Linked DNA regions of Kluyveromyces lactis. The protein of the gene in region 1 interacts with the protein of each later gene in a pairwise test. Links are inferred from orthologs where the notes say so. Each region holds a gene or a part of one and is shown on either strand. Other genes may lie near its edges. The genes, in order: RRP15, MAK21 and MAK11.

What was found.
Region 2: the proteins of RRP15 (region 1) and MAK21 interact in binary tests that used the Saccharomyces cerevisiae proteins (3 or more experiments, as listed by UniProt). The link is inferred for Kluyveromyces lactis from reciprocal best matches to the Saccharomyces cerevisiae genes RRP15 and MAK21.
Region 3: the proteins of RRP15 (region 1) and MAK11 interact in binary tests that used the Saccharomyces cerevisiae proteins (3 or more experiments, as listed by UniProt). The link is inferred for Kluyveromyces lactis from reciprocal best matches to the Saccharomyces cerevisiae genes RRP15 and MAK11.

Annotation. Positions count from the first base shown.
Region 1 is NC_006038.1:955,032-960,638, reverse strand, and holds RRP15 (rRNA-processing protein RRP15), read left to right. Parts: upstream 1-2,234; coding exon 2,235-2,996; downstream 2,997-5,607. Other genes in the region: KAR3 (Kar3p), read right to left, coding at 1-1,654; PPT1 (protein serine/threonine phosphatase), read right to left, coding at 3,153-4,691; ribosome biosynthesis protein NOC4, read right to left, coding at 4,955-5,607. UniProt on the Saccharomyces cerevisiae protein: Constituent of pre-60S ribosomal particles. Required for large subunit rRNA maturation, in particular processing of the 27S pre-rRNA at the A3 and B1 sites to yield 5.8S and 25S rRNA.
Region 2 is NC_006041.1:1,105,990-1,113,405, reverse strand, and holds MAK21 (RNA-binding ribosome biosynthesis protein MAK21), read left to right. Parts: upstream 1-2,537; coding exon 2,538-5,558; downstream 5,559-7,416. Other genes in the region: KLLA0_E12541g (uncharacterized protein), read left to right, coding at 1-966.
Region 3 is NC_006041.1:713,327-719,471, reverse strand, and holds MAK11 (Mak11p), read right to left. Parts: upstream 1,997-6,145; coding exon 824-1,996; downstream 1-823. Other genes in the region: LYS1 (saccharopine dehydrogenase (NAD+, L-lysine-forming)), read left to right, coding at 1-652; NIS1 (Nis1p), read left to right, coding at 2,812-4,287; TMA108 (Tma108p), read right to left, coding at 4,415-6,145.

The DNA.
Region 1 (5,607 bases):
CAATCGACTTCGTTTTATTAGCTGTTCTCAAGACAGTATTCACTCTCGCACGTGTTTCTAGTTTTATGGACGTGACATTGGTAATTGAGGTTCTTTGAGAGTCCCCATCGTGTCGTATTTCGTATTTTGTCGGACCTGGTTCGGGATTTAAAGATCTCAAAAGATCAACGATTTGTTCGTTGTAAATTTCGATAAATTGAGCCTCAAATGAATAATCCCATCCTCTTTCCTTCAAGAGGTGCGTCCAGTCAAAGATATGATCTAATGTCATTGGTATTACACCATCAGGATCGTTCATCATAGTATAAGTTTTTCCAGAACCAGTTTGACCATAAGCGAATATGCAAACATTATAGCCATCCAGTGAACTCTGAATCAACTGGCCAACTTCTTCGAAAACGTCTCGATTTGATGCATTAGAGCTGAATACTTTGTCAAATAAGAATCTGCTGTTCCTATCTTCATTGCTTATCTCTATTGCTTGCGATCCATTTCTATTATCAAAGTTAGATACATGAATGTGCGATATATCCTGCACTTCGTTTTCTAAAGGCGGTCTTATTCTACAGTATACTCTGATATTTCCTCGCAGCTCCTGTAGTTCATTATGAAGCTTACGACGCATTGTCTCCTCTTTTATCAGTATTTCATTGATTTGTAAAAGTTCGTTTTTGGAATTAGTGATATACTCATTGAGTTCTTTCCGTTGACTGATAGTTTGCTCTATTTCTTCTTCGACAGTGTCTATTTGCACAGTAATAGATTCCTTGAATACATTCTTCTCATTAAGCTTCTCTTCCAATTTTGCTAGCTCCTTTTCTAAAATGTTACGTTTGTCTTTAGATTGATCCAATTCATTAGTCATGTCATTTTCTATATCTTGACTTAACTTGTTGATATCCTTAATCATGGACTGATTAGCTTCTGTGATATTCTTCCATTCCGTCTGAAACTCTACCATCCACTTCTCTTTAAGATTTGAGTATTTCTTATCAAGTTCTTCCTTTAATTGGTTAATGACATTGTCATTATTATTTACCTCATCGTTTAAGTTATGTATGTCCTTCAATAAATGTTCCTTTTCTTGTTTAAACTTTTGAATCTTTTCAAATTCAATCTGCTGCACTTCAAATTTGAATTTCGACTCTGTTTCATTCATTTCACAGTGGTATTTTCCCTCTATCTTCTTTATTTCTAGATCAAATCCGTTTCTCATAAACTCTAACTTCAATTCATGATCTTGATCCATGCTATTCAATTCATTCTGCTTTAACCCGATTTGTCGTACTTTCACTTGTTTCTCCTCTTTCAAATTGTTCATTTTGAACTCTACAGTTTCCACTTTGCTTTTCAACGAGTTCATCTCATCCTGTGCGGTATTCAACTTGATCTTTTTTCTGGACAACTCTTCTTGCAATCTATTCAGTTCTTTCAGGTTTTCTTTGTAAAAGAATGTCATATGAGTTGAGCTTCTATTTTCAGTACTGGGCGTGAGAGACCTTCTTCTGTTTATACTCTGTACATCTTCTGGATTCAATCTTATCGACTGCCTTGGTTTGTATTTTGGTGAACTTGAACCCTGCTGGGTTGGAGAAGGTATATTAGAACCGTCCTTCGATGAACATCTTTCTGGCGTTGACGGCGGTCCATTCATATTCCGTTTGATTATCAGCCAACCAGTTTAATTTAGTCAAACCCACTACCTTATTACACGTCTTTTCCAAAGCGGTACTGGTTTATATACGTTCTTCAATTGCTATGTCTCCTTTGGTGTTTCAAGATTGTTTTGTTTTCGGTTGATCTTATTATTTGTTTACATCTTTACTAGTATATGTGACATATTTCGAAACTGAACCGGCTTCAGTACACAACAAACCTTCTTTGGGTAGCTTGAACAAGTAGAGGAACCATTACAGATACACCACACTCCAATAAACCCAACAGTCGGGGAACCACAGGCTAGTAAGAGAGTTCAGCTTCAAGTTTCTTATGACGGCGGCTCCACCAACGTCAAATTTGCAGTGGTGTATGGGTGTGTTGATAGAATGTATTTCTTTTTGTTAGTGAACATGCCAAAAAAAATTTCAGTGAAGCACAACTCATCTCATCGCTTTCAAGACTGTATCTGGGCCTTTAGGATCCATCATTGAATTCACACTATCTCAATAGAAGGTTAACTTGCCGGTAGATTGTGCAGTGGACAGCTTTGTATTGTATAGCCGCCTGAAAATACTATGAGTAGCAAGGGTAAAGTGACAATACCTGTCACCAAAAAGAGCAAGTTGAATGACAAGTCTGCAAAGATCAGGGCTCAAACGAAAGTCAAAGAGAATGAAGTATCACAATTGGCTGATGAAGTAGATTCTGATGTGGATTCTGAAGGCAGTACAGGTTCCGAAATAGATAACGATGAAATGGATCTAAATGAAGTGTCGAGTGATGACGCCAGTGATGAAGACAGTGACGATGAAGATGTGGTGAACCAACCAGATGACGATGACTTCCCAAGAAAGAAGAAGTCTTCCAAATCCAAACACGATGATGGATCATCCACATTTTCCAGCGCGTTAACCAATATTTTATCATCGCATTTGAAAGCATACGACCGTAAAGATCCCATTATGGCTAGGAATAAGAAAGTTTTAAAGCAAAATGAAGCAGATAAGTTAGAGCAAAAGGCTAAGAGAGCTATACTCACAGAGAAGAAACAACTACTCAATAAGACTAGAAAGAAAGATATTATACCTGTTGTGGCTGCAGACGCAAACTCGGATGAAATTAGAGAAATTCTTGAGAAGGAACGTAAACTAAGAAAGATTGCCCAGAAAGGTGTTGTGAAGTTATTCAATGCAATTCTCTCTACTCAGGTTAAGACTGAAAAGGAAATCAATGACTCATTGGGTGGTGTGAAGAACCGTTCAGAGAGAAAAGAGTTGATAACGGAGGTTTCCAAGGAGAAGTTCTTTGATTTGGTGAAAACTGCTGGTGACAGTTGAAAAGAGGAAGTTCTATATGATAGAGGGAATCATCTGCATTTATTAAAGCGCAAAACTATGTACATATATAGGTAATCCCAAAGACTGTATAATAGACTAATAATATTATTAATTACAACTTTATCGAAAAAAGATCAGATCAGGTCAGATGAGGGATCAAAATCCTAACCCTCCATTTGAATATGCCATTGGTTTAATATCTGGATGTGGTGAAGCAGAGAAAGTTTCTATTACCAAGTCGCTGTCGATAGATGATTTCTTTTCAGATTTTGTGTTTGGAACAACATGAATGATTGCACCGAGGTTGCCACCGGCGTCACAGTAGTTAGGAGCACTGAAAACAGTGACCAATTGATTCTCATGCTCAAATTCGTAACCGCCTTGTCTAACTTCATGAGACCTGAAGATTCGCTTTAAATTATTCTGTTTCAAGAACTTTCTAGTAATGTCAGGCCCAAACGCATTACTTAAGCCACGAGGAGATGGTCCAAATCCATCCGGAGCCTGTGGATCCGCCCATAATAACTCCATAAATGTTCCCTCTCTTGGTGGTTGGTGGAATCTATCAATTTTCTTCATATCTTCTACAGTGGCAGAAGTATCACTTGGCAAACCACCATGCACGACCAGGTATGAACTATTGATGACAGTGGCTAATGGTAGAGATTCGAAGCTTTGTGAGAAAAGATCGAAAATGCGCTGGGAGTACTTGTATTTGCATTCGTCTTCAAACCCGTACACTTTATTCATGCTGTTGGTTTCATGATTACCTCTGTTCAAGTAAATGTTCTGTGGATACACGATTTTCAAAGAATAGAATAAAATGGCCACTTCACAAGACCATGATCCACGGTCTACGAAATCACCATTGAATAAATATACATTGGAGCCGCCTACTTTCCCATAACTTTTGAAGATGTTCAGAACATCATAAAATTGACCATGCGTGTCACCACATACAGAAATTCTTGTATCCGGCTTTTCTCTGTTATCAAGTTCAACAACACTGTTTTCTTGCTTGAACAAATAGTCTGCATGAGAAATGATCGCTGCAACGTAAGCCTTTGGAAGCTTTTTACCTTCTAGGAAAATCTCATTAATCATATAAGAAATGAATTCCTGGTTCATATTGTTAACTCTGACACCAGCATTGGCCCCAGAATCTGACTTCACTTGTTCGAATTCCAAGGTTTTACCATCATATTTGAGGAGATCGGCATTTGCATCGAATGAGCTGATATTTAAAGTTTGACATAAATCAACTTTAGAAGAGTCTCCACCGCTAATAGCTTTTTCAAAATTCTCCTTCTGTATGACTTTATCACAGATTGCTAATGCATTTTTTGCAGTGAGCTCGTTAGGCTTGAATTTCAACACAATGATCAAGTCCTTCCTTGCCTTTCTAAACTCTAGTAGCCCAATGTAAGACATAGCTCTGCGGTGATAGGCTTTCAAATTGTTATTATCCAATTCAATTGCACGTTTAGCATCGTCTAAAGAACTTTGGAAGTTATCCAACTTTAGGTTGGTGAACGCACGGTTTGAATATAGGATCGTATTCTCGGGATCATGCTCGATGGCTTTTGTATAATACTCAGCTGCCTTTGCGTACAGTTTCTCCTTCACGAACTTGTTACCTTCATTCTTCAGCTCTAAGGCTTTCTCTGGATTACAGGCTTTCACTTCCTCAGTCATTTATTCAATAGTAGTGGTAAAAAAGCAGCCAACTGGTATGGTATGTGCCTTTAAGTCCTCAAGACCGATAAACGGAGCCCATTTTAAAGTTTTTTCTGATGTGAGTCTTTCTCTTCTTGATGTTGACTTGTTGATTTTTTTCATCTCGATGTTTCAATATTACGGCGATGTGATGAGATGTAATGTGAAGAGATTTGCGAAAGTGAAAGAAAGTACTCAATTTGGAATTGAACTACTTAAGTTTTCTACTTGAAATTATGTATTTACCATTTTATGAAGGGTAGGAATGCTGAATCAGAACCTGATTCGAAAATTGTTTCAAACCTTTCGAATTCAAGAGCAGGTTGGATCTTCAGCTTTCTATTGGTTTCTGCTTGCAAAAGTGAATCGTAAGACCAATCTAAGAAATCTTCGATGTTGTAGCTTAACTTTTGGAAAGGTTGTTGGAAAATCTTCGCTAAAGTGGCTACGTTTGGATGGTAGTGATTCATTAGCGTTTCTAGCTCCCATACTGAGGAGGAAAGAGCATTTGTAAGTTCTGGATTGGTTTCTTCATTGTTGAATGGATCTAGATATTCTTGCCTTTTCTTTGAATCGCAGTCGATGTATTCTGGATCGTGTAATAGAATCATACATGTAGGATGCTTTCTGATTAGATTGTACACGAATGGTATTATAGAAACAATAGCACCTGGTGGTGCCGATACGGATAAACGTGCCAAACGTTTGATGAATGACGCTACCAGTTGTGCGGATAAATGTGTAGAAGATAGAAAGGTGTCCACTAATCTGAAAAATCTTGATCTGTACTTAACGTGCATTACTTCTGGAGTTAGAAGCTGATATAGTTTTGAGTAGAAATTTGGATATTCTAGGTTGTATTTTTTCATAAGTTCAAACAAACCATTTAATGAAA
Region 2 (7,416 bases), on another chromosome or scaffold:
GGTGTTCCCTTTTCCAATCTGCCGCAGAATACATATAAGGTGACAAAAGCCTCAGGGCCCAACGCCAATACTGGCGTTGGAAACAACCCGAACGCTGTGTTTAACGCTGCAGTGACTGGGCTTCCCGTGCTCCCTGCGATCCCAGGATTTACGAACCACGGTGCGTTAATGACTCCATTGGCTCCCACGGTTTCTGGTGGTGGTGGTGCTGCTGTGAACCATTCGGGGAACACCTCCTCGGGTCATAACGATAGTGAGAAAAAGTATCGGAACAACATTAACACTCATTTCCAGTTTTTGAGAAACTCGGTACCGACACTTCGATGGTGTGACGATAACTCTATTCCTGTGGAATCGCTAGAAGGGTTGGCTCCACCTTCGAAAGTCAACAAGGTTCAAATTTTGTCAAAATCTCATGAGTACATCAAACATTTGGAACGCAAGAACAGTCTGCTGCAACAGGAAAATGAACAGTTGCGGATGCAGTTGGCTCAGTTCATGCCGGGCCATCACAACAGTCCTGGATCTCCAAACATGAACCACAATTCCATAATGGTCCCTAAACAGCATCAGCAGCCGCAACAACAGTCGCAACAGAAACAGCAACAGCAACGGCAGCAACAGCAACGGCAGCAACAGCAGCAGCAACCACAACAAAGTAATATCCAACCCCAGTACCAGGGGAATTTACAAGGCTCACAAAGTCATTCGGTGACTCCTCCTTCATCCACTAAGCCTTCAATTTCGTCGGGTCCTTTCTACCGCCAACCGGGGCAGGTTCAAGGAGCACACCCATCACAAGGCCAGGGATTAATTCAGAGTCATGGGCAAGGTCCATCTCAACAGCATTCAATGTACGCAATTCCTCCCGCACCAATGCATAACCATCCTTCACAACAGAATTATCAATTCATGAAATATCAAAGTTACTATCAACAACCACCCCACCAAAACCTGGATGAATAAAATCTTAAGTTTATCTATCGGAACGTAAACTTTTTTTTTATTGTTCGTTAATGGTCCCAACCTGAAGCTTATACTACTATTATCCACCACTAATTGATAATAATGTTGAATGGGATTAATAGTACTATTATTGTTATAATTTTTACTACTAATTTTTTTTTGTTCTAATGATAGAAAAAAGCAGCATGAGATTCGAAGTAACTCTTCAATTTTTCATGGCATCGTATGCTCGGTCTCTCGTTCACACACCATCCATCCTTTCACTCCTTTCCCCGGTGTGTGTTTGTCGTCATCTACCTATATTGGATTTATGACTCTGTAATAGAAAAAGGCAAAGAAACGTCACAAAACATCATAGCATCGCTACAGCATTCGATGGAAAATCCAGAATTAGCTTGAACGGACAGCTTAAGAAGCTTTATCTTCCCCGTCAATTGCCATCATTGTTCCCATATCATAAGGATCAGCTTTATCATCTTATTACTTTTATCACGCCATTATTACCATTAGCACTCTATTTTTATTTTCATTTCAGTGAAATGATGATGAAAATCAGAAAAAACACAAAGACAAATGCCATTGCAGTTATTTTTTTATACGTTTCCTTTGTCCATTCATTAGGATACCAATTGTCATTGTCTTACGAATATATAGATATTCTTCGCTATCGCTACTTAGAAAGAAAATCTCGTTTGTCTTATTCAACTTTTGAAATGTACAAGTTTGAGTTATTTTTAGGCAGGTCAATGGGTTCGTATCTATGACCCTAATGTCCCTCTAAAACTACACCTTGTATTTCGAGGTAATCAACTCGACTTGAACCTCTTCTCTTGTATGCACAATGAAAAGAAGAAGAAGTATAGTAGAAGTATTCCTTTACCAAGAGTTGTTCTCAATACGTAACTTACCTTGTTCACCTCGAGCTGGTGCATCTGAAACCATGAGTTTCCAATCAATTCATGCAAATGCACGTCTATTTCTGCCCCAAGAATGTATATGTATGTGTGTCAATGCTTATTGATGCATGCACCATTGGCAACTAATGGCACCATTGGCTTCCACCATGCACGTCGTTTGTGCGGGTAATGGCGAGGTCCCAAAAAACATTCTTTAATTGGGATTGATTCCAGTAAAGAAATTCCAATGCAGAGAGGCGGATACTTGAGGGAAGTACATACATTGTGCAACTTTTGATTCAACTTACTTTCACGCTTTACCTACTCCTGAGCATGTCCATTGGCTCGTAACGCTCTCGGCAAACCATGTGACAAGCAGATTCCCCGCTTCTTGGTCTCACTACTACATAGAATGCTTTTGTAAATACTAAACGAGAGAGACAAACTCATTACCCGGATAATCGTTAATCACGTGATGAAAAGAAACGACAAAAATTTTCTACCTTTACACCAAAATCAAGCTCATCTCATCTCATCTCATCTCATCTCATCTCAACTCTTATTATGCGCTCAGACTGTGTTTGTTGATATACACAGAGGCCACTTCTCTGTTTGTCGTTTGATTGATCTATTGCTTGGAAAGAAGCAACACTCGATAACAAGTGCAAATCTGGAATGAGTCTTGATTTATCCAAATTGAAGGAGAAAGTGTCCTCCAAATTGGGAGCTTCAAAGGCCAAAGACACTAAGCCTAAGAAGAGTAAGAAGCAGGGCGAAAAAGAGACAGACGTTACTCCAGCTAAAGAGGAAACTGCTGTCACCAATGAAGAATTGATCCGTGAAGCTCTGTCTCTTGGAGCCTCTGAAAAAGATGTCCAGCTTGTTGATGGTGTTGACGACGATGCCAGTGAGATTGAATTCAATGAAGCCGATGAAGAAGTTGATGACGAGTTTAAGAGCGATTTCAGTGCTTTATTGAAGAATATGGGATTCGATAAACTACCTGAACCTGAAGTTGTAGAAGAACCAACAGTTACTGAGGATGCAGGCAAAGAAGAGAAAGATATTGAAGAGGAGGAGGTAGAAGTTGAAGAAGAAGAAGAAGAAGAGACGGTAGAGAAAGAGGAGGAACCACTTAGTCCTAAACCAGCAGAAAAAAAAAAGGAAGATCAATCCGACATGATCACTCAAACTCATATTGTTCAAAGTGATAAATTACTTGTTCCATCAGATTTGTTGTGGTACGAAGTTCCTTTGGACCCTGAATTAACAAGAGAACAGGATCCGCTAACGAAAGAACAGATAGATAAGTTATACCAGCGTGGTAAAGAGGCCTTAGAATTAGATAACACTAATTACTACGAAGAATTTACCAAGAACTCATCTCAACGTAAGTTTATGTCCCAGATCTTAAGCGATGGTACGTTGAACGATAAAATTAGTGCTTTGACTTTATTGCTACAGGAATCTCCATTGCATAATATCAAATCTCTTGATTCTTTGATATCCTTTTGCGGGAAGAAGTCAAGAAATTCCGCATTACAAGCTTTGAATGCTCTGAAGGATTTGTTCTTAAATGGTCTGTTACCTGACCGCAAGTTAAAATACTTCAAGAACCAAAACCTTTCCATGCTACTGAATAAGAGAACTTTAGCTATTTTATATTTTGAGGATTACTTGAAGGGTCTATATTTCAAGATTTTGGAAATCTTTGAGAAATTATCCCATGATCCTATCATCTATGTCAGAATGCAAGTGCTAACACATATCTTTGACCTGCTAACAGCCAAACCAGAACAGGAATTCAACTTGTTGAAACTTGGTGTTAACAAATTAGGTGACATTGATAACAAAGTAGCGTCAAAGGCTTCCTTCAAACTTTTGAAACTTGAAACTCAACATCCAAATATGAAATCAATTGTGGTAGACGCTGTTGTCGATATTGCCATAAGGCCTCAAGCTGACTATCATACTACATACTATTCCGCATTGACACTTAATCAAACAATTTTGAAACGCTCCGAGAAGAATCTAGCAAATCAGCTAATCAAGACCTATTTCACTTTATTCGAGAAATTCTTAATCCAAACTGATGCTGATAACGAGGAATCAAAGAGTGAAATCAAGGAATCCGATAAGTCATATGAAAAGAAGAGAAAGAAGAACTTCAAGAAGGGTAAAAAGGGTGGTAAGTCTGTCATTGAAGAAAAAAGTGCTCAAGAAGTTATCGAGGAAAAAAATACCAAATTATTCGGTGCTATTCTAACTGGTTTGAATCGTGCTTTCCCATTCTCTGATATGCCGGGATCCGTGTACGAGATACATCTTGATACATTGTTCAAGATAACACATGCGTCTAATTTCAACACTTCAATTCAAGCATTAGTATTGATTCACCAGGTTGTCGTGAAGACAAACATCACAAGTGATAGATATTACAAGACATTATACGAATCCCTACTCGACCCAAGATTGGTGTCGTCATCGAAGCAAGGTATTTACTTAAACTTGCTTTACAAATCTTTGAAAGATGATAAAGACATTGGAAGAGTGGATGCTTTCGTAAAACGTATATTGCAAGTCTGTGCCCATTGGTTGAACATCGGTGCCATTAGTGGTATGTTCTTTTTGTTGATACAACTTTCAAAGAGTTTACCGCAGATCAGAAATGTTCTAATCAACTCACCACTAGACTCTGTTTACGAATCTGATGACGAAGATTCCAGGGATAAAACTAAGGAAAAACCTGGTTACGATAGCCGTAAACGTGATCCAAAATATGCCAACGCTGAAAATTCATCGCTTTGGGAGATAAATCAATTCTTGTCCCATTTCCATCCTACTGTGCAGTCGTACGCACAAGGGTTCTTCGACGGTGACACTCAAGAAACAAGAGAGTTAGTCAAACCCGATCTTGGCCTATTCACGTTAGCCCATTTCTTGGATAGATTCGTGTACCGTAACGCCAAGCAAAAGCCAACCACTAGAGGTTCATCTATCATGCAACCTTTGGGAGGTGTACACACTGGTTCGTTATTAGTGAAGGCCAGCGATACCACATTGCACGAAGTACCTGCTAACACGGAGAACTGGTTAAGTAAGAAGGTGCAAGATATCAAGCCAGATGAAAAGTTCTTCTATCAATATTTCTCTACAAAGACTAATGCCATCAAATCTACCAAGTCAGGTGCAGAGGATGAAAACGGTACAGCTGAATTCGACGAGGAAAGCGATTTGGACGAAGATGAAATTTGGGATGCTTTAGTGAAGTCAAGACCTGACGTCGAAGGTGACGAAGAGGACAGCGATGTTGAGTTCAGTGAGGACGATTTCTCACAGGATGATTTCGGATCGTCATCCGAAGATGTCGATATTGATCTCAAAGACCTTGCATCTTCGGGAGACGAAGATGAGGCATCAGAAGCTGATCTTGAAGCTGAAGAAGGTGAACCAGAAGACATCAGTGACTTCGATCCAGAAGAGGCCAAATTGTTTGAAGATAACCTCGAAGACGAAGTAAAATCTGATGAAGATGTATTCTACAGTGCTGCAGACGACTCCTCGCAAGAATCTGATGTGGAAGACACAGAGCAACAACCTCCAAGAAAGAAATCAAAGAAACAAAAACTACGCGAACTACCAACTTTTGCGTCGGCAGAAGACTACGCCCAATACTTGAACTCAGATGAAGAATAAAGAGTGAAGAAGTACTGTTGCATTGCATGTAAAAACCAAGACCAGTTGAATTAAATAATTCCATAGCCCATACAACACCACAGCTTTTGTACATTAAACCCGATCAAACCAAGATCTCGTCCACTCTAGCCTGCCCTATGTCAAAAAACGCATCAAAAAAATCCGTTTCCTAAACCGGAAATAATCTAGCCCGTTTTTCCTGTGTCTCGAATGAGAAGCCGCTTTTTTGTGGACGGACGCCGTTTGTTTTTGTAATTCCCTTTTAGGCAATAGACGGAACGAATATCTAATAATAGTTCCAAACGGGAAGTCCGCACCAGTTCAACACTCTTGGTGTGTTTATGAAGGGTGTGTCGAAAGCAGATTATTATAATCATCATTCAGCGGATGACGGAAGTGAATGAGAAAAAAAAAAGTGTTAATGTATGTAATCGTAATTCCCAGAAGTGAAAGTTGTTCTAGCATGCAACACTTCAGCTCACATTCTCTATGAATGGGCAAGATGCTAGTATGCCGCACACAGCGCATTCACCGGCGCAAATGTAACGCGTGTGGACATTCATTACTCTGTCTTGATAAGAGAACAGAAAACATAGCGGATGAAAAAGGATGAGTCTAGGTCTTTGCAGCAACTCTTACATAATCTCACGTGCCTCGTTTTCCGTCTAAGCAACGTTGCGGCTTCCGCTTCTTTTCACCCATCTGTCGTTCGAGAGCTCTTCAGATCCGAAGGATTATGACAAATGACAAATGGTCGGTTGCTATCCATCCCAGCCTTTTGTTGACATCCAAAGAGATTTTTTCTGGATCCGCTACATTCTCTCCGGAAATTTACATGACGGTTGCCAGTAAGAAAATAATTATAGTAATTAGCAATATCTACATGGTCACTAAGTTTGAATTCGTCGAAGTCTTCCGCTGCAATACTTTCACTTTCTTATCTTAAAGGTGTCTGAGAAGGTGCGCGAAAGGTTTGGATGGGGAGCTTTGATTAACTAATCTTTTTATCGCTTGTGCATTGAAAGAGTAGTACTATTGTTATACTCCCATTCTTCCTGGGCTATCCACACATACACACGCTGCAATAATACGTACATAGACAGATTCGACCCCTCTCATCGAGCGTCGTTCCGGAATCTGTGACGTATAAATTCATTCACATAACTCTGGATTCTTGTGCGCTTTTGTTGCATGTGTTTCATATTTTATGGCAAATTTCGGTGAAAAATTCCAGACACATCAAGTCTCGAAAACGGTCTTCCCGCGAGTATTTTTAAGGCAGAGAGCTAGTTTCAGATCCTTTTGATCTTTGCTCGTCACACCCACATCCTCGTCTCGACCCCTCCGTTTCTGGTTCTATCTGCTGCTGCTTTTCGTTCGAAAACGGAGAGGCAAAGGATAAGCTAAGGTGATTACCAAATATCCTATAAGCATTTCGTGAGGGAAAGAAAAGAAAGTAAAAACGAATTGAAACTACGCTAGAGAGATACAGCAAAGTTAGGTCCAGAACAACATACTCTCGTTTCGTCCTCTTTTCGTGCTTGTCATTCTTGCCAGCTGCTAGATTTTTTTTTTCATTCTTTCACTATTTATTGATATTGCTTGCCGCAAGATCTGAGGGAAGGTACATAATACGTCAGCGTTACCGTGCAACTACATTGTATTATATTGTATTGTTTGTTTGTTTGTTTGCTTGCCATCGTTAATATTATCCGTATTGCCTGCAAAGTGTGCATTTATTACTCGGCATAACCGTTTCCCTTCGATCTATTGTGTCGCATTGGACCGGTATAATCTAAAGATAACTCAGGAACAAGGTGGGGACAGGAGTAACAGAATATAAAAGCAACTTATATTT
Region 3 (6,145 bases), on another chromosome or scaffold:
CTCAGATTCTGAGAATTTGGGAGCTATTGAACCATACGAAAACGAAGAAGCTATGATCAAGGATGTTCGCAGAGACTACCAATTAGCTTTGAAGAGAGGTGCCAGAAAGCCTAAGGTTTTGATTATTGGTGCCTTGGGTAGATGTGGTTCTGGTGCTGCTGATTTACTACGTAAGTGTGGATTGCCAGAAGAAAATATCATCAAATGGGATATGAAGGAGACTGCTCGTGGTGGTCCCTTCCAAGAAATCGCCGATGCCGATGTTTTCATCAACTGTATATACTTATCAAAGCCTATTCCTCCTTTCATCAACAATGAACTATTGAATAAGCCAACCAGAAGATTGAGAACTGTTGTTGACGTTTCTGCTGATACCACTAATCCTCATAACCCTGTTCCAATTTACACCATCAACACTACGTTTGATGCACCAACAGTACAAGTTCCAACCACTGTTGGTCCAAAATTGTCCGTGTGTTCTATTGATCATTTGCCTTCATTGTTACCAAAGGAAGCCTCAGAATCTTTCTCTCGTGATCTATTACCATCCTTGGAGCAGTTACCTCAAAGAGCTACTGCTTCTGTGTGGGTCAAGGCTAGAAACCTATATGAAAAGTTCGCTGCTAAGGTTGGTAGAACATCTAAGCTATAGAAGCTGAACCTTTTTTTTTCTATTTCGTATCCTCATCTTCTGGGAAGGTGGTTGTTAGTAATCCTAAAGGGTCCTTTTATGATGTAGACCGCGATTGAGACTTTGTATATTATTCGCCTTAGTTATATATATATATATATATATATATATACAAAACAATACTGAAGCATTCTATTCTAATTGAACTTCGACCTTCCTTTTCTTGTTTCCGCCCTTCTTTTTACTCTTCTTGGCCTTTTTCCCAAGCATGATCTTTTTGAGTTCCTCAGGATCAGCTTCTACGTCACTTGGTTCTCCCACCTCAACTTCTTCTGGTGCTCTCTTCTTAACGGTATCATATTTTTCAATACTTTCATCGCATACAGCTACACAATTTAATCTTTCACCACAATCGTATACCGCAACTTGATCCCTAGTCTTCATGTCCCAAACGACAATTCTTCCATCAGATCCGATTGTAACTAAATAATGACCAAACTTGTTATGGTAAAATTGAAAGTCCTTTACACGGTTACTGTGACCCAATAGTGAAAATTCAGCTTCCAACTTAGGTGATTCTTCCTCTTCATCTGGCACTTCTTCGTAAAGTTTTGATGCTTTCCAGAATTGAACGGCACCACTGTTCAATCCAACAACAATATACTCTTCGCCATCAATGATTTCACGCTCTAGATGCATCAATGTATTCCTGCTAAAATCGATTTCTCTATGCACCTTTGCTGTTTCGGTCTTGAAAATTAGCAATTTGTTCAACAAACCAACAGCAATATACGACCCATTCTCCCCGCACCATCTAACGAACTGTCCGTTTTGATTATATTTCCTTAGTTTCAATACACCTGCCTTCTTAACAGTCATGAGGTTCCATAATCTGATCGAATGATCTTCACTTACACTGACTGCAACTCTGTTCGAAGGATGAATATCGAAATCGTTGATCCTGGCAGTATGGCCCTTCAAGGTTCCGAAATTTTCCCAGTCTTTCACTCTCCATACTATTATTTTATGATCCTCAGATGCAGATAGTAGCCATTTATTGAGTTGGATATCCTGGCCATCGGCATCTTTACCTCTTGAGAATCTCAAATTCGTAATGGAACCTTGATGTCCTAACAACGTCCCCAATTCTTTACGTTTTTGTAAATCGTAGATTCTTATATTTTCATCGTTCGATCCTGATACTAGGTATCTCTTTGATATGTCTAGACATTTCACACTCAATGAGTGCGCTTGAAAATGAAATATTGGCGTGAATAGCGGTTGGGTTAACGATAAGTTCAAAGATAAACATAATAGATTGTGTTCGTAAGAACCCACAATGATTCTAAACTGATTATCCGGCATTTGAATAGAAGACCTTTTCAACCTCTCTTTCTACAGTGAAAACAAAAGGAGCACTTATCGGTGTTGAAGAAATTATATATGTGAAAGCTCATTGAACTCATCTCATCTCATCTCATCTCATCTCATCTCATCGCTTCTTTGACTATGTTCAATCTTAAATTTTCCAACTTTCCAGATCCAGATGGGAAGAAAAAAGAAACTGTTCAATTTCCGGGTAAACTTTTTAAAAGGTTTTCTTTCCTTCAAATGTGCTGGGTTCAATCTATTAAAAATTCCCAATGTTCAAAGGGTTTGTTTGTATTTTTTTTCGACAACCAGCATTTTTTGTTAAGCTTAGTTTCTTTAGCATGAGATTTCGGACAGAAAGTGCGGAAAATAAAGTGACGCAGCATTTTTTAAGTGGTGTAGGCTCTCAATGTTCGAGTTGTTTGCTTAAACGGTCCGGAAACAATGTTGTGTGTATTGATGGATAATCCGTTTTTATTTCCTAGGATGAATGTTCAAGCATTGTGCTAATTATTTTTGGTGACAAACTTGATCTGATCTTTAAAGACTTTGAATCGGGAAAATACATGTTCCTCCATTAATCAATAAGAGATCTAGATACGGATTTGAAATCTTTAATTAGAACTTAGAACTCTACTATTCCATATTTAGACGTTTCATTAGCCATTTCCGAGAGTGGCCATTTAGAGCATAGCACTTTCTGATTCTCATCAGTCCTAATCCAAAGAAATATTCTCTATTCACAACTTGAAAAGGGGAAGTTACTTGAGCCTGTTTCAAGAAAGGAATAAGAGCTGAATTTTCAAGCCATGTCAAGTTACTCTAGTGAAAATAATGATACTCGGCGTGTTATCGATTTGAGTTCTAATAACATCGGGAGTCGATTACATGAGTCTCTTGTCGATTCAAACAGAGCTATATATACAAGTGGGATGCAAGAACGTTCTTTGAATGAACAAAATATTCACTTGGTCAATACGTTGGAAGAAAGAAGTCCCAATGATAAATTACTGCTGAGTCCATACGAAGAAGAACTTTACAGACGTAGTCTTAGACTGAGTCCCGTTACTTCAATCGCAGCACCCATACCCACAGTTACATTGCTTGGGGAGGATGCACCACCAGAAGCCGGAAAGACTGCTTTACCGTATATGACCGATTTTGACAAGTTCCAGGTGGAACAGGAAAAGAACAATAAGAATAGGCGACAAGGTTTGGAACAAAATAACGACTCGCTGTTGAGTTTATTCACCAAATGGCCTATCTACTCTTCTAAGAAAATAAAACAAAAAATGAATAGGCACAATTCGCTTAAAAGAACGCATTCTTCAGTTAGGCGCAAGGATTTCTCTGTTCAGTCTGAGTATGCGAAATATAACAAAGATAAGAAGTTCATATTCCATAAGGGCTTTTCTCAAAGACACAATTCTGTTAATTCACTGCGAAGAAATTACACCAAAAAGACTCACTTCAGAAAAAGGTCTAGGTTTCAAAATGAACAGGAATTGATGTCGTACATGAGATACATCAACGCCTCTCAAATGGATATAACTGAGGTGATAACAGCCGATAACATTAGAATGTATCTTTATTCCAAAAATTCATTGAGAAGCCTATTACGAGTTAATCCAACACTCCATCCAATTAAGGTTCCTTTAATGCAGTTTAATGAATTGTTGAATAAAAAGAAAAACTCTCCGCAAGGGTCAAATGTTGTGAAAAGGCCATCTATCTCTAGAAACCTTTCAAGAAAAGCCAAACATGTTCGCAGGTCAAACACGTTACCAGCTAATAAAACATCATTTGCAGAGAGATTAAATCCTGAGTTATACCGTACATGGAATTCTTACCTCAAAGCTATCATAGCTAAAAGAGTCGAGCTTAGAATCTCTTGTCTATTGGGTGAAGATATGTCGTCATTTGCCTCGTCGGTGAGAAATTCTGCGATCGTGTACAGAGAGTCAATTACACCGCCGTTGGAACTTGGGTCTCCTGGCAACCCAATTGTAATTTCTGATAATGAGGATGCTCCGCCCGTCAGAGGATCGCAAGACAATAGCAGTAATACTGATGGCTATGGAACAATTGAGAAATTATATCATGAAAATGATACCGATGATTTGTCGACCAGACCGAGCACTAGCATTTTTTCCGTGCGACAATCACTGACAAGCGCAGACCAAAACAGAAGATCATTTTTCTTCCCTCCTGACAATCCAGGAATGCATAAAATCGATGAAGAGCGTTCTATACGCAGTGTAACGTCAAGAAACACTTTGTCATAACGAAATTAATTAATCGGGAGCATTTACGGATTACAGATGAAACATTTATGTTTCTGGAATTCATGCTGTTCTGAGAGAATTGCATTACAAATACATTCATATGTATACACTACTTATGATCTGGATATTAGAAGCCTAAAATACCTTTATAGATATTCATTTTGGAGCTTTCACTCGCTTTAACAGCGGTCCAGATTTGAGCTGTACCAAGCGTTTGACCATACGTAGCGTTTTTCTTTGTCACAAACTCATCGACCTTTTCGGGGTTATCCATCCACATTTGGAAGATCACATAACTGATGTGCACCAGGGTCTTTTTCATTCTTTCAGAGGATTCCGCGCCCTCTCTCAGAGACTTACGACCCCATAGGTCATAATTTAACTCGAACCACTCCCAGCATACATCACGGACTAATTTATTCTTCTTGCCATCCAATGGCTCGCGGAAGTTATAGTTCAATCCGAATAATGCATTTTCAACACTGGTTGAAGTGATATTAGTTAAAATAAAGTTCAAAGTCTTTTTGATGAGCTCCTCATTAGTGTTGAATGCAAGATTCTCAAGAGCCATATTTTGAATGTCAATAGAAGATCCACCGTCAACATGAGATTCAACACCCTTTGCAGACTTAACTAGCTCATATAATTTTTTCCACTGTTTGACATTCTTTTGATGACAGGAGACAGTGGCGAACACACTTCCGCACAATTCCAAAGGAATGGACTTATTTGGACCAGACAAGATCTTTTTCATTAATTGATTGGCCACAGTCAAGGTTGAGTCCAAATGTTTGATACCAAACATCACCTTTGACATAACTTTTAGCTGATATGAGGAAACGTGAAAGTCATTCCAAGAAAATTTATCCCATAGAGGGACATAAATATCAGTAATGAAAGCTTTCTCAGATTTACCGGTGTATGTTCTTAAAGCATTTTCTATGGTTTGCAAGATATCTAAACCGATAGATAATCCACGGTATAGTTCTTCCGTTAAATCAACATGTGATGCCAGGCACCTCAATATCATTAAGACACCATCGATGTGTATCTTTTTTTGGTATTCACTGCCTATTAGAGATCTCAGGTCAATGAATATTTTGAATAAATCCAAATCGGAAATTTTAGAGTTCTTGAGGGCTTCATTGATCAACTCGTAGCATTTATCCGTCTCATAAGAAACACGGTATAGGCCCCTGGCTCCACTGTTCACAATAAGTTCGGGTTCGGATAATTTCAGAGTTCTATCAGTAAATAATCCATTCTTAGTATCATCCTCTCCTGAAGATTGAACTGCAAAAAGTGGAATATGGTAAGGAATGTCCTCAACATCTGTCTTTTCCAAAAGGAAACGGTGCTGTTCCAAGGTAGTCCTTTCAGTATCAGTATTTACAGAAATGATTGGGATACCAGGAGTCCTAGTCCATGAGCTGTAGAAGTTTGCAATGTTTTCGGATTTTAGGATCTCGCCCATTCTTCTAAAGATATCCATTGGTTTGATACAAGTTTCATGGAATGTGGACGACTCTGAGAAGATCTGGGCGAGAGCTCTGTTGAAGTTTTCTTTCCCAACACTTTGTTGGAGTGATCTCAATAACGATATTCCCTTATGATATATGTGTGGTTCAAATGCATCTGAAGTTGATTGCAAGGATTTCACGTCGATTACCGAACCTTGTGTGATACTCTTGGTAGTTACTTCAGCGTCAGTTGATATGACATTTTCCATCTGGGTTAGATAGACGTCTGAAGACCAATATCCATCATTATCGTGTTCGTCCAACAAGTCACATGCGAACCACGTCGCAAAAGCTTCGTTAAACCAAAGATGATCCCAGGAGTCAAACGAGATGTAGTT